3 linked regions of the Oryzias latipes genome follow. The protein of the gene in region 1 purifies or fractionates together with the protein of each later gene. This does not show direct contact. Links are inferred from orthologs where the notes say so. Each region holds a gene or a part of one and is shown in the gene's direction. Other genes may lie near its edges. The genes, in order: ubxn2a, ppp1r7 and ppp1r11.

Region 1 (4,110 bases):
TTAATATAAATCAACATTTTTGTGAAGAGTCTTTTTTTTCCTCTATATTAGATTTGCAGTCAGCTAAGACAGAACAGCAGCTGATCAGACTTCGCTCTCTGCAGTGTGCAGCCAGTGTTGCCAGATAGAGTCACAGTTTTCCAGCCCAAAAGTCATCTAAAAACCGCCAGACCCCGCAAAAACCCGCCCAACGGGGGGGAGGGGGGGGGAAATAAGATCAATATACAGCTTTTGTAGATTTTTTCCCCTACTGGACTGATTAAGTATCCGATGCGGTGATTTTTCAAAATAAAACATTTCTTAAAATCAAAGATAGTTCAGACTATTAATAAAAGGAGTACAGTATTGCGTATTTCTTCAGCGGACCGGCCTTCTTCCATTCATTTTCTTAACCCGCTATAACCTATGTATAACCTCTTCCATCCTTGTGCTGCGCTTGCGCCAAAGCGCCCCGACTACTACCGTGTCAACCTGCTGCTATGATGACCGTATTTTGCGCTCTCTGTGTTGGACACACTGGAGGAGCGCGGGGAAAACAACTCTGAGCTACAGAGGATGTGAACAGGTGAACAGGTAGAGAGGAAAAGCAGGCAGAGGGGCGGGGGAGGGGCTTTAGCTTCAAACTGTCAGAGAGATGGAAACAAACACGGGCGTCAGATTCACACGTAGCTTTCTCTGCGGGAGTTGAAGCAGAGACTTTCTGGGACGATCTCATGAACTCAAACATGGAAACATGATTACCAAGTAGAACTCTCCAAAATATTAAACCTGATCTCTCCACATTCTCCGTGTCTACCATGCATCGATACACACAGACATCCAGCCATCAGACCATAACGTTAGCTCGTAGCTCCGCCCACACGCGACCGCGGTGTCAGCTTTAATGAACGCAACATCTAAGAGGAGGGGCGGGGCGGCAAACCCCCAACAACAGGTTAGATGACAGAACCCATTAAGCGTCTCTACCTGGTGCGTTCACGGAGCTTCAGAACATAAGACTTCAACAGCCACCCAGCCTAAAGTAGTCCGTTATTATGTATTCATGAGTGTAAAAAACCCGCCGAACAGACCCTAAAACCGCCAAAATTATGCATACCCGCCCAAAGCTATTTTTACCCGCAAATTTAGAACAAAAACCGCCCAATTGGGCGGAAAACCGCCCAATCTGGCAACACTGTGTGCAGCCTCTCTCTGACTATCATCTGTTTCTGAAGTGCTGAGCTCAGCCTGCGCGCTGCCGGTTTCACGACAACTTGGCCCAGTTTCCGGCTCTCTGACGTCACAGGTCTTGCTCAGCAGAAGAGCAGCTGGTCGTAACTTGTGGCTGCGGATGTGCAGCCCGGGATTAACCTCGAAACTGGTAAATCGGAATGCGGCTTCAGTGTGGTAGAAAAACCTCCGCTGCGTTATTTAATCATTTATTTTTATTTATTTTTTTTATTTCTTAAAGCCGTGCTTTTATTGGGATCTGCGTCTGCGTGCTTGTCAATGTCAGTGACAAATAAAACGCCAGAATGATGAATGAGCGCGCGGCCAATTTCTTTAAAATTATCCTCGGTGACTTAATGTCACTCAGTGTGCAACATGCGAGATATTAGTAGTAATGTAATAATTATAATAATAAAAATAAAGGGCATCCCATAATACGCAGCGTGTTGTTTGTAGCTATAGGCCTCGTTCATTCCTGCATGTTTTATCTTCAGATGGTAAACGAACACCGTCATGAAAGAGAATGACACGGATGACAAAGATGATCAATGGTAAGTGTTTTCCTTAAAAAAAATCCACCACCCCCCCCCCATAAATAAATAAAGAATCAGTAAAAATAAATAAAAATGTAATTTTCCCATTTGCATGTGTGCGCTTGAACGTTTTGGATCATTAAACCTATCAAAATAGACTGCAGTTACACAATAATGTGGTATTAAGTGGAAGATCCACACTTGTAACTAATATTACAATAACACCATTTTCCACAGCCTCAGCCCTCTGATTACAAGTTACCCTTTAGGATACTTGCAGCTCATTATTCCACCTCTCCATTTGTTGAAGGGCTGCCGGTAAAGACGATGAGGAGGACGTCCCCATGAGCCGCAGTTTCTCGGTTGAAGACCTCCTCGATGAGGTGGAGAAGATCTGTTATGATGCTTCAGGGAATACCAAGGTCAGACTTTGTTCCCAGTTCTTTATTATGGGAGAAATGTTTGAAAAGTATAAGAGACGCTGCTGGATTTTCCACAAACATGCGTGGAGTGTCTTCACTTAGACATGTGTAGCTCAGTCATGTCCACAGAAAATATTATTTATTTATTTTCATCGTAATAAATGCATACATTGTAATTTTTTTAAGCATCATCTTCTGATCTGTTTTCTCCGTGCTCTTTCATTTATGATGATGTCGATTTTAGCCAAAATCAAAAATCCCGTGTCTTTTACTAGGACATAGTTACTGCAGAGCTACAGCACTTCATTAAAAATACTCCCCCGAGGTGTGGACCATCGATGTGGAGCAACCCCGGCCCCCTCTTCCCATCACCCGTTTGTTTACACACTCTCCTGCTGGCGTACAGCCCCAACACTAAAGGCCCGTACACACCGGGACGAATATTCGCCAGCGTTTTTCGCCACGTTTTTTGTGTTCACACCCAGGCGATTTTCGCTGACGATGAGCCGAGCGCTTAATGTAAACAGAAATACTCCTGTACACAAGGTGGCGCTGCGCAACTTTACGCTTCTTAAAGTCGCTTTTCGCTCAGAAGAAGAGAGCAAGTATTTACGCGCTTGTCAGAATCAAACAAAGAAAACATGAATATTTCAAGCATCAGTAGCTCCAACTGCTGCTTGGTTCGGGGATATTATAGAATGTCCGTCATTATTTCTTCGCGGCAGTGTAGACGCTACTTGACGTCTATCTTCTTCGCTGGTATGTGTGCTCAGCAAGGCAGTTTTGTGTTTGAGCGCCCCCAAGTTGTGTTTTACAGTAACTTCAGAAGCTCCAGACACGTGTGCAAAAGCGCCATTCTCATTGGTCGAATAGATTTCGACGCGACGCGTCGGAAAAAAAAAACGAACCCGAGGCGTTTTTTTTTTGACGCTTTGACGCGTGGCGTTTTTTCGCGTCGGTGTGCACACTCACATTGGTGCCCTTGGTTTAGTCACGAGGCGTTAAACGTCGGCGAAAATCGCGCGCGAAATTCGTCCCGGTGTGAACAGGCCTTAACATTACCGCTGCAGCAGAGCAGCGTTGGAGCTCTGCGGCGGTACAGTTTTTAAGACAGAAGTCAGCTCAAGACGTTCATGGATCTATTTGTCTGAAAGCGGATGCATTAGAACAAATCCAGGAACTTGTGGCCCCGCCCATGCAGCGTATTCTCTACGTCACCAATACAATCATTTTGAAACATTTTTTGTTGTTTGCTCCTGATTTACATTTATTTGAATTAAGAAATACTCAGAAAGGCAATTTTGAGCTTAATTGACTTTACACATCATCAAATAGCCAGAAAAAAATGTTAAAAATACAATTGTCATCAGAGTGGGTCTTTCATGTAGCATATGGTTTTGAATGGAAAGTGTGGAGTAATGCTTGTAGACTAATTTAGTCACACACAATTTCCATTTTTATGATTTATTCATCTAAATCTTTTGGGAAACGCTGAGCTCTCCCCGTCTACTCATAGCAGGACACCCGACCGCGTTACTCTGGATCCCCCATCCCTGGTCTTTTTCAGCTCTATCTGCTGCTGATCCACTGGATCAGGTCTGGGCAGGATCTAGAACCCCCTGATCCACATAATCTGCAGGGCGGAACTAAAAACACAGAATTCAGCAGTCCTGGCTTCTAACTTCTGCAGCGTAGAAGTTCTTGAAGTGAGGGCCATCTGGGTTTTTTTATTGATAAAAAATGCTATGGAGACTGTTGTGCATGCACCAAATACTCCTATTTATAGCTCCTGGAGTTCAACTCTTTGCAGCTTTTGTTTTTTGTCAACTAAATGTTGGAAAATGGTATCTCCAGAAAGAAAAAAAGCATCCGGGTGGTTTGGTTTAATCCAGAACCCAGCAGCGCACACCTTTGCACATGGCGAGGGCTGCTTCTACTGTTGCTCT
Region 2 (3,376 bases), on another chromosome or scaffold:
ACTAAAATAGAAGGGCTTCAGAACCTTGTCAACCTGAAGGAACTCTATCTGAGTCACAATGGCATCGAGGTCATTGAAGGCCTGGAAAACAATGTGAGTTGAACTCTCTCACAGAACTTTAGAGGAAAAATTACTACTACTTTTCTTAGGCTGAAGAATAAAGTGAGGCTGAACTTTTTTTTGGTTTGTTTTTTTTACAGAAAAAGCTGACAACGCTGGATATTGCTGCCAATCGAGTAAAGAAAATTGAGAACATCAGTCATCTGACAGAACTGCAGGAGTTCTGGGTAATCATCATTTTTATTTTTTTAGTTTGCAGACTAAATTCACTGCTAACTGATGTGTCTGTTACTGTGAGATGGTGATATTAGTACTAAGAGAGCGAGCGTGTGGTTCTTCAGGTAGCTTCCAGGTCCTGCTTACTTCAGAAGACCACACAATTTATCATGTTTGGAATTTATCGAACCGCAGATCCTTCGATCGCCGGCCGACTTTCTCAACCCTTTTAGCTGCTGCCGCCTGGATCACAACTACAAGCTTTTTTCATCTGCTCCTGATTCTCAGCGATTTGAATAGAGAACTAATCAGATATGCAATTTTAAGCCTAATTGTCTTCATGTGTCTCCCATCATTAGAAAATGTACAAGAACACGTTAAAAACATGATATGTATATATGTGTCTTTTTTTAATCAGCACTTCAGGTAATGGTAATGCCTTAGTTTATTTCTATTGCACTGATGGTTGTGTTTTGGTTAAATGTCTCCACAGATGAATGATAACCAGATAGAAAACTGGTCAGATCTGGATGAGCTGAAGAACGCCAAGTCCCTGGAAACAGTCTACCTTGAAAGAAACCCGCTGCAGAAAGATCCTCAGTATCGGAGAAAGATCATGCTGGCCTTGCCCAGTGTGCGCCAGATCGACGCCACCTTTATTCGATTCTAAACTGTAGCGCGTCAGCCGCTATCCAACCTCACCGTGCACCCCCATCCCCCCCTCACACACACGCCACCTTCTCCGACACGTTTTGAAACGTTCCGTTTCCCAGTCACTCCATGTAAAATATACATTCCATCCCAAAACATATCTATGGCTCACCGAGCAAATGCTCGTATGCACACATTCTTCTCCTGATCTGTGCTCCTCTGTGGAAGCTTTTATTTATTAAGGCACAACTGTGAAAATGAAAACAACTACCCTCTACTTTAATATTTCCTCCACACTTTTTTTCTCTTCATCTGGGAGACAGAGTCGAACCGGCAGTGTCCATGAAAACAAAAACGTAGGAAGGCAGTCTCTATACTTGAAATTGGATAATGATCATTCCCAGGTTAGGCGTGTCATTATGGTCATTGTAAGGATTTCTCCGTTATGTTTATTTTTTCTTTTGGGGGAAGAAAATGCTGCTCTCATTTCTGTGCTGTTTTTTTTTCCGTTTGCATGTAGTTTAAAATGTAATCTTAACATTTGCTTCGTTGGATATTATTAATAACGTTTTGTTTTTGCTTCATTTCTAACATTTCTTGAGCAGGGTATCAAACTTAGCAGTAAGACGTCCACAATGAAGCCTTAAGACAGACTACATATTTACACCTCATTGGTTGCATAAATCTATCTTTAAGGGGGGAAAAAAACGTACTAGTGTGTAACTTTTAATAAACTGGCTGCAGCAATGAAGGGCACATTTGGATGTTCAACCTCCTTGTCCATGTTTTTTCCTGAAGAGATCACAGATTACTAGATCCATTTCCTGCTGAACAAAAAGTCGACTCTGTAAGAAAATAAAGCGTATGAGAATGTAAAACAATGCAGTGCTTCTAGGTTCAGTGGTTTGTCTTTTTTGTGGCTGCATTTTAGTTTTGAACACGCTTTTCTTCGTTTCACCTCAGCTTTTGAAAAGACTCGAACATGCAATTTGTGAAGCACAAGTTGAATGTAGAGTTTGTTTGTTTTGATCTTCTTCTTCCAGGACTGAACTCTTGTTTAGCCATTGTAAGATAAACCAGTCCATGCTCATTTTTGGCTTGTAGAATTGGTTTGAAGTATTCATGCTGTGTTTTTATCGTAGACCCATTAATGTTGGTTTGACTCGCTGGAAACAGTATTTCTGCAGTCTTCATTGTAGAATGCTTCAGTGCTCATAATGTAGTTTAAGACATTTTTTATGTAGAAATGATTCAACAACTCTGAGCTGAGAGGTCACTTAATATAGAGATGCACTAGAGGCAGAGGTGGAAAGTGCACTATTTTATTTGGAACCACTTCGACATTTCAAAACATTAAAAAAAAGGGTTTGTGTATCCTAGAACTTTAGGAAAAGGAAATCAGCTACTCAAATTTAAATCTCAATTTATTGCTTTAATTCTTAGATGTATAACAGGTGGGGCTTTTTAAAAGACTATCCTAAAGACAGTTATGCATTTCCAATACGCCTGATGAATATGCCCTTTTATTTTAAATTTTGGAACTGATCCTAGGAATCTGAAATATAAGAGCGTGGAGTTAAAAACCTGTAGATTACACCTCTCACGTCTTAAGCCTGTGCTATCATCTTCCCTTTGTAAACGTTTGTTTCTGCCAATCAGTCTAACCAATTTGTGTGATGTCAAAATTGAGATAAAGATGATGTTGCAACTCGAAGAGAATTTACAGAAACTGCTTTCAGCTTTTTATCTTAGTTTCAAATTTTTTTTACTTATTTAATGCTGTTTTTGAACTGAATGTATTATGCAAATAATAAAGTGACACTTATGAAAGGGCAAGTTTTTGTGTGGTTTTATATTGTCAAAGATATTTTGAAGCCTAATTTGACATTTAGGTTTATGATTATGCCTTAATTTGTGACAAAGATCAAAATTCTGACCTTATTTGATTGACATTGGTACCGATAAGAGCTTAATATTGTGTAGAAGGTGCACAACTGACTTTTATGTACATTATATGAATGAAATCTGTAGTAATATTTTCTGTGCTATATTTTTACTATAGTATGTTTCTCAAATTGGTTAAATCCACAAAGTTGTGAGCATTTAAAATAAACCTCGTTTAGACAGCTTTTGTCACATCAGGTTTTTTTTATGTTAAGCTTTCTTGGCATTAATACCTAAAGTTTAAAAACTAGCTATGTAACTTTTTTTTAATTGCATTTTTTTATCTGTTCATAATCCATCTATATTTGAACAAAGAAGTACTCAGAAATGCAGTTCTGATCTTAAACCATTTTATATATGTATTTCAAACACCAAGTGCACGATTTTCATTGGAGAGGGTCTTCAAACCGTTATCATTACACTTTTCAAGTCTTATTTTGCTTTGTGGAATGACCAGCAGAGCTGATTTTATTGGCATTACCCATGAAGAAACAGTTACATATTT
Region 3 (4,140 bases), on another chromosome or scaffold:
CACCACCCTAAAAGAGGCAAAAAGTTATATTAGCACAGATGGACCAATATTGACATTTATTTCACAGACAAGCTCCAAAACCATTGACTCTTATATCTAAGCCAGGCTGGTTTCCAGGTGTCTCCCTGCAAAGAACTTTAAAAAACGATGTCACTGATTTTTGCACCAAAACGGTAGGAGGGGAAGTAAATCACACACCAAAAAAAGTTTAAAAAGAGACTGGCAAATTCCTTGATTTTTTCTTAACATCTATTCCTTAATTTCCTTTCTTAACATCCATTGGATAAGACCTCTCCAGCATACCGGCTGCTGCTCGGCTGACAGGATGACCTCCTCTCGCTCCAGTCTCCGTCTCCGTTTTTCCGCGCGGGGCCGCGTAGTGGAAGAAGAGGAGGAGAGGAAGTAGTGACAAGACAGGGGACATGACAGACCCTGTGGCGAAACAGAACAGAGCCGAGACGGAGTTTTTACCGCCCGCCTCACGCCGGACAGACACGCTGTCCTCCACATCTTTACCTCCGTGTCAAAACCGGAAACCACGAAAGCGGGAGCTGCCAAACAGCTGAGAGCTTCATTATAACCACAAATTAATAGTCACCATGTCGCAAACTTATTGGAGATTTGAAAATCACCATCAAAGCCAAATAAGCTTTCAAAACAGCAAAAAAACAAAAAACAAAACAACAAGTATTATTTAAACGCCTATCACTTCCGATTCGATTGGTTCTCGTTTGAGAGTGGGGACAAAAATACCAGACGGACCGGATATACCGTCGACAAATAGTACGTTTGTAAAATCACTCCCCACTGATATAAACAAAAGTCATTTTTCAAAATAAAATGAATCGTGAAATATTTTGCTTGTGATTTTTTTACTTAGCTTTTTAACACATTCACAGAAGAAGTCCCTGCGTCTACAGGATCTTATGTAAATTTTTAATAGTCTTTGATGATAACGTTAACTGAATGGGGGAAAAAAGCACATTTACAACAGTCGGTAAACGTAAAATCGGATCGGGTCGTATGATTCAATCGTCGACGTATTTAAGAAAACACTTCAAACTTGGTGCTAGCTAACTTGCTGGGGGGTGGGGGTGGGGGACGACCACGACAATCGTGCATCTCCAGTCTATGAAGGTAGGGTCAGGAAATGTCTTCTCCGGTCTGGGCGTAAACATGAAAATGCAAGACACTGGGCAGTTTATTTTGAAAAACGGCAGCCCAGTTCCTGTTGCCAAATGTCTCTTCCGTTTGAGTCTGAGCTTACTTGTTGTGTAACTTGAATCGGGTGCACTACAGCTCTGCTGGGACATTTGCCAAGTTAAGCTTACATTGCTACCTTTTTAAACCCGTGTTTCTTTATTTCGCTCCGTCTTTGTCGCCGGTACAGCGTCATATCCGTTGCTAGGGGCGGTGGCTGGTTCGGTTCTGAGAGGAGGCTAACGGGCTAGTTAGCAGCGCTGCTACAGGATGGCGGAGGTTCCACCAGGGACATCAAGTGAAACCATCACAGAGACTGTCCAGACCAGCCCCCCGACGCAGCAGCAGCAGGTAAAGAAAGGATCGTGGGATGGTTCGGCTCAGGGTCTTCTTGTTGTGTTGTGTTTATGACGGCGGCTCTGCGAGGCCAAGCTGCTACGTCTGTAGTCCGCCTCTGACTTGGAGAAGGATGGAGTCTCTTCACAAGGCCTCCCGGCTTAATTATCGAGCTAATTGTGTGTGGGGCATCACTGTAGCCACGAATGGGTTTGGAATTAGCATATTTTGGTGGAATTATCACTTCTTTCTGTGCATTTATTTAGGAATTCTTTATTTATAGCACCACACTGGCAACAAAAACTAAGGACGAGTAGCAGCTTAGTCAAATATATTTGGACTTTACGACATATTGGATTGGGTTAAAATATGCACAGCCATTTTAGTGTAGCCATCAGAGAATATGGCTCCAAGTACTAAAGCAAGTGTTTCAGTTGTTAAAGTCAGATGGGCTGTCATTAGATTTGTAGATGATGGCTTTGCCTTTCAAGTTTCCCAAAATTGTAATCTAGTCAAGCATCCGTGGGGATGTGCTAGATCAGAGCTGCCCAATCCCGGTCATCGAGATTTGACACCCTGCCTGTGTTCCAGCTCTCCCTGCAGGTGTGTTCAGTCAGTCAGAAGGAGGAGACGCCTAAGTCAGCGTATCAGCAGAAAAAACTGGAAAACAAGCAGGATGGTAGGTGGGTTCTGAGGACCAGGATTGGGCAGCCCTGTAGTAGATGAATAAATGGGGGCCATGAAGGGCCCCCTCAGCCCATTGAACTAAAAAGATTTGCTGTTTGCTTTTTTGCAGATTTCACATCTCAGTTGTGCATTCGCTCTTTAGACAGGTAGTTAGAATTTTAGAATTAATCTGGAAGAGCAAAAACCCTTTTGGAACACGTGAACACTGGGACTTTTGGTCATTGTTTGAACCCTGGTCTGCTTGCAAACACAGATTTGCAGGTTTGTTCTGAGTTGGTTAACCTGTACGGTATGTTTTGTTTGGCAAGTGTGAAAGCTCACCCAAATTCTTTAAAGAAAAGGTTTTGATACTTTGTTGTGATTTCAGATTAACTTTTTGAGGACAGAAGAGATTAAGCTAACCAGAAGGGGCTACATAACATGAGCGGCATAAGTTTCATGTTTGCCCTGTACACAGGACTGATGGGTCCCTATGTGTTGTCAAATTCCTTTATTGCGTTTTGTGTTCATGGCACAATTGTACCAAAAATGTGGGCCAGAAGTCCAGAGAACGGTACCATGGCTCACCCATGTAAACAGGCCAGATGTTGTGTGTTCAAGATTTGAGAGTGAACTGGGGTGTGTTCCAGAAAGCAGGTTATGCTAGTTACCACTGTAAATTTGAGGCTAAGGAAGCGGATAACCTCAGCTTTCTGTTCCAAAAAAGGAGGTATGTTTCAAGGTATGTCAAGTTGCTATGGCAACTTATGCTCTAAACATAACCTGGTCTGGAGCAGGTTTAGTTGAAGGTTAGTTTGTTTTCAGAGAGGTGAAGCAGCATGACGTGTCCATTTGAAGATGATTTAGTGGATGAAGAAGCTCAGATAATTCTTTTTCCACGAGAGAGGGTGATAAGACCACGTATGGATGTTGTAGAGATAAACTTTTTTACATTAATCTAACTTAATATTTTGCTTCAGTTAAGATAAATTATGTATTTAGGTCATCTTAAAAATAACACATAGTTATCAAACAGTTAGTTTACTTTCATTCAAATTAATTCAATTAAGTAGGTGTAACTTTGGTGCTGCTGTTAAATCGGCACCGCAAGGAATTGTGGGATACCGTTCCCAAAAAGAAACATTTTCTTTTTCCTACGGGATATATATATATATACACACACGTTTGATTTGTCCACCGTTCCGATGCACCCGTAGTGCCTTTTGATGGCCGTATAATCTACCCCTTCATTAAAATCTCAGACTCAGTCTCACTGAAGTATAGCTCTCTCTTTTTTCTCCACGCGTTTCCATGGTGACTCCGGAAATCGGCGATCCACTGAGAATGTCTTTCTGTACTTGAGGTGCACGAGCATTAACCCAGGGTTACCAAGTCGAGCGTAATTACGCCAACTCATATCCGGTCTTTTGGAACCGACATACCCAGAGTAAGCAAGTTCAGGCGGATTTCAGCCAGAGTTCAGGGTTAAAGTCAGGAAAGTTTAAACATGCTTTACCCCTGTTCTTGGGGGTCAGATGCTTTCGTCACAGAACAAATCATGTTCTGTGAGTAGGTTCCTTTGGGATTTGGACCCAGCTCCTATAAAAAAAATGTAAAAAAAAAACTCTCCACCAAATTTTCAATTTTTCTAACTAGTTTTTCTATCAGATTTCCAGGCGTGATTTCTCACTTCAGGAAGCCGTGCTGCTTTGAGTCCAGTGGCTGCAGGCTGATATCACAGAGAACCCTAATAGCAAAGCAATTCAATTTGTATGGCGTGTTTAGTACACACAAGCACTTCATAGTGCTTTCATGCAGGACAAAGCAAATAAGCAGGTTGATGATGGCATCAACCTTTCAAGTTGATAAACAAAATCAGTGAACAATAAATAAATCAAAATAAAATTGTTTTCCCAAAGTGCAAAATTTTCTGTCCTG

Evidence for each region.
Region 2: the proteins of ubxn2a (region 1) and ppp1r7 purify together in Homo sapiens (affinity purification with mass spectrometry; 3 studies listed by BioGRID and IntAct, counting the BioPlex papers as one, with this or other methods). This does not show direct contact. The link is inferred for Oryzias latipes from reciprocal best matches to the Homo sapiens genes UBXN2A and PPP1R7.
Region 3: the proteins of ubxn2a (region 1) and ppp1r11 purify together in Homo sapiens (affinity purification with mass spectrometry; 3 studies listed by BioGRID and IntAct, counting the BioPlex papers as one, with this or other methods). This does not show direct contact. The link is inferred for Oryzias latipes from reciprocal best matches to the Homo sapiens genes UBXN2A and PPP1R11.

The regions. Positions count from the first base shown.
Region 1 is NC_019882.2:2,952,772-2,956,881, forward strand, and holds the start of ubxn2a (UBX domain-containing protein 2A), read left to right. Parts: upstream 1-1,235; 5' UTR 1,236-1,360; intron 1,361-1,703; 5' UTR 1,704-1,722; coding exon 1,723-1,760; intron 1,761-2,052; coding exon 2,053-2,164; intron 2,165-4,110. UniProt on the Homo sapiens protein: Acts to repress the ubiquitination and subsequent endoplasmic reticulum-associated degradation of CHRNA3 by the STUB1-VCP-UBXN2A complex in cortical neurons.
Region 2 is NC_019875.2:24,809,996-24,813,371, forward strand, and holds the end of ppp1r7 (protein phosphatase 1 regulatory subunit 7), read left to right. Parts: coding exon 1-93; intron 94-200; coding exon 201-287; intron 288-769; coding exon 770-946; 3' UTR 947-2,763; downstream 2,764-3,376. UniProt on the Homo sapiens protein: Regulatory subunit of protein phosphatase 1.
Region 3 is NC_019869.2:21,521,560-21,525,699, reverse strand, and holds the start of ppp1r11 (E3 ubiquitin-protein ligase PPP1R11), read left to right. Parts: upstream 1-1,217; 5' UTR 1,218-1,470; coding exon 1,471-1,551; intron 1,552-4,140. Other genes in the region: vars2 (valine--tRNA ligase, mitochondrial), read right to left, coding at 1-7, 304-510. UniProt on the Homo sapiens protein: Atypical E3 ubiquitin-protein ligase which ubiquitinates TLR2 at 'Lys-754' leading to its degradation by the proteasome.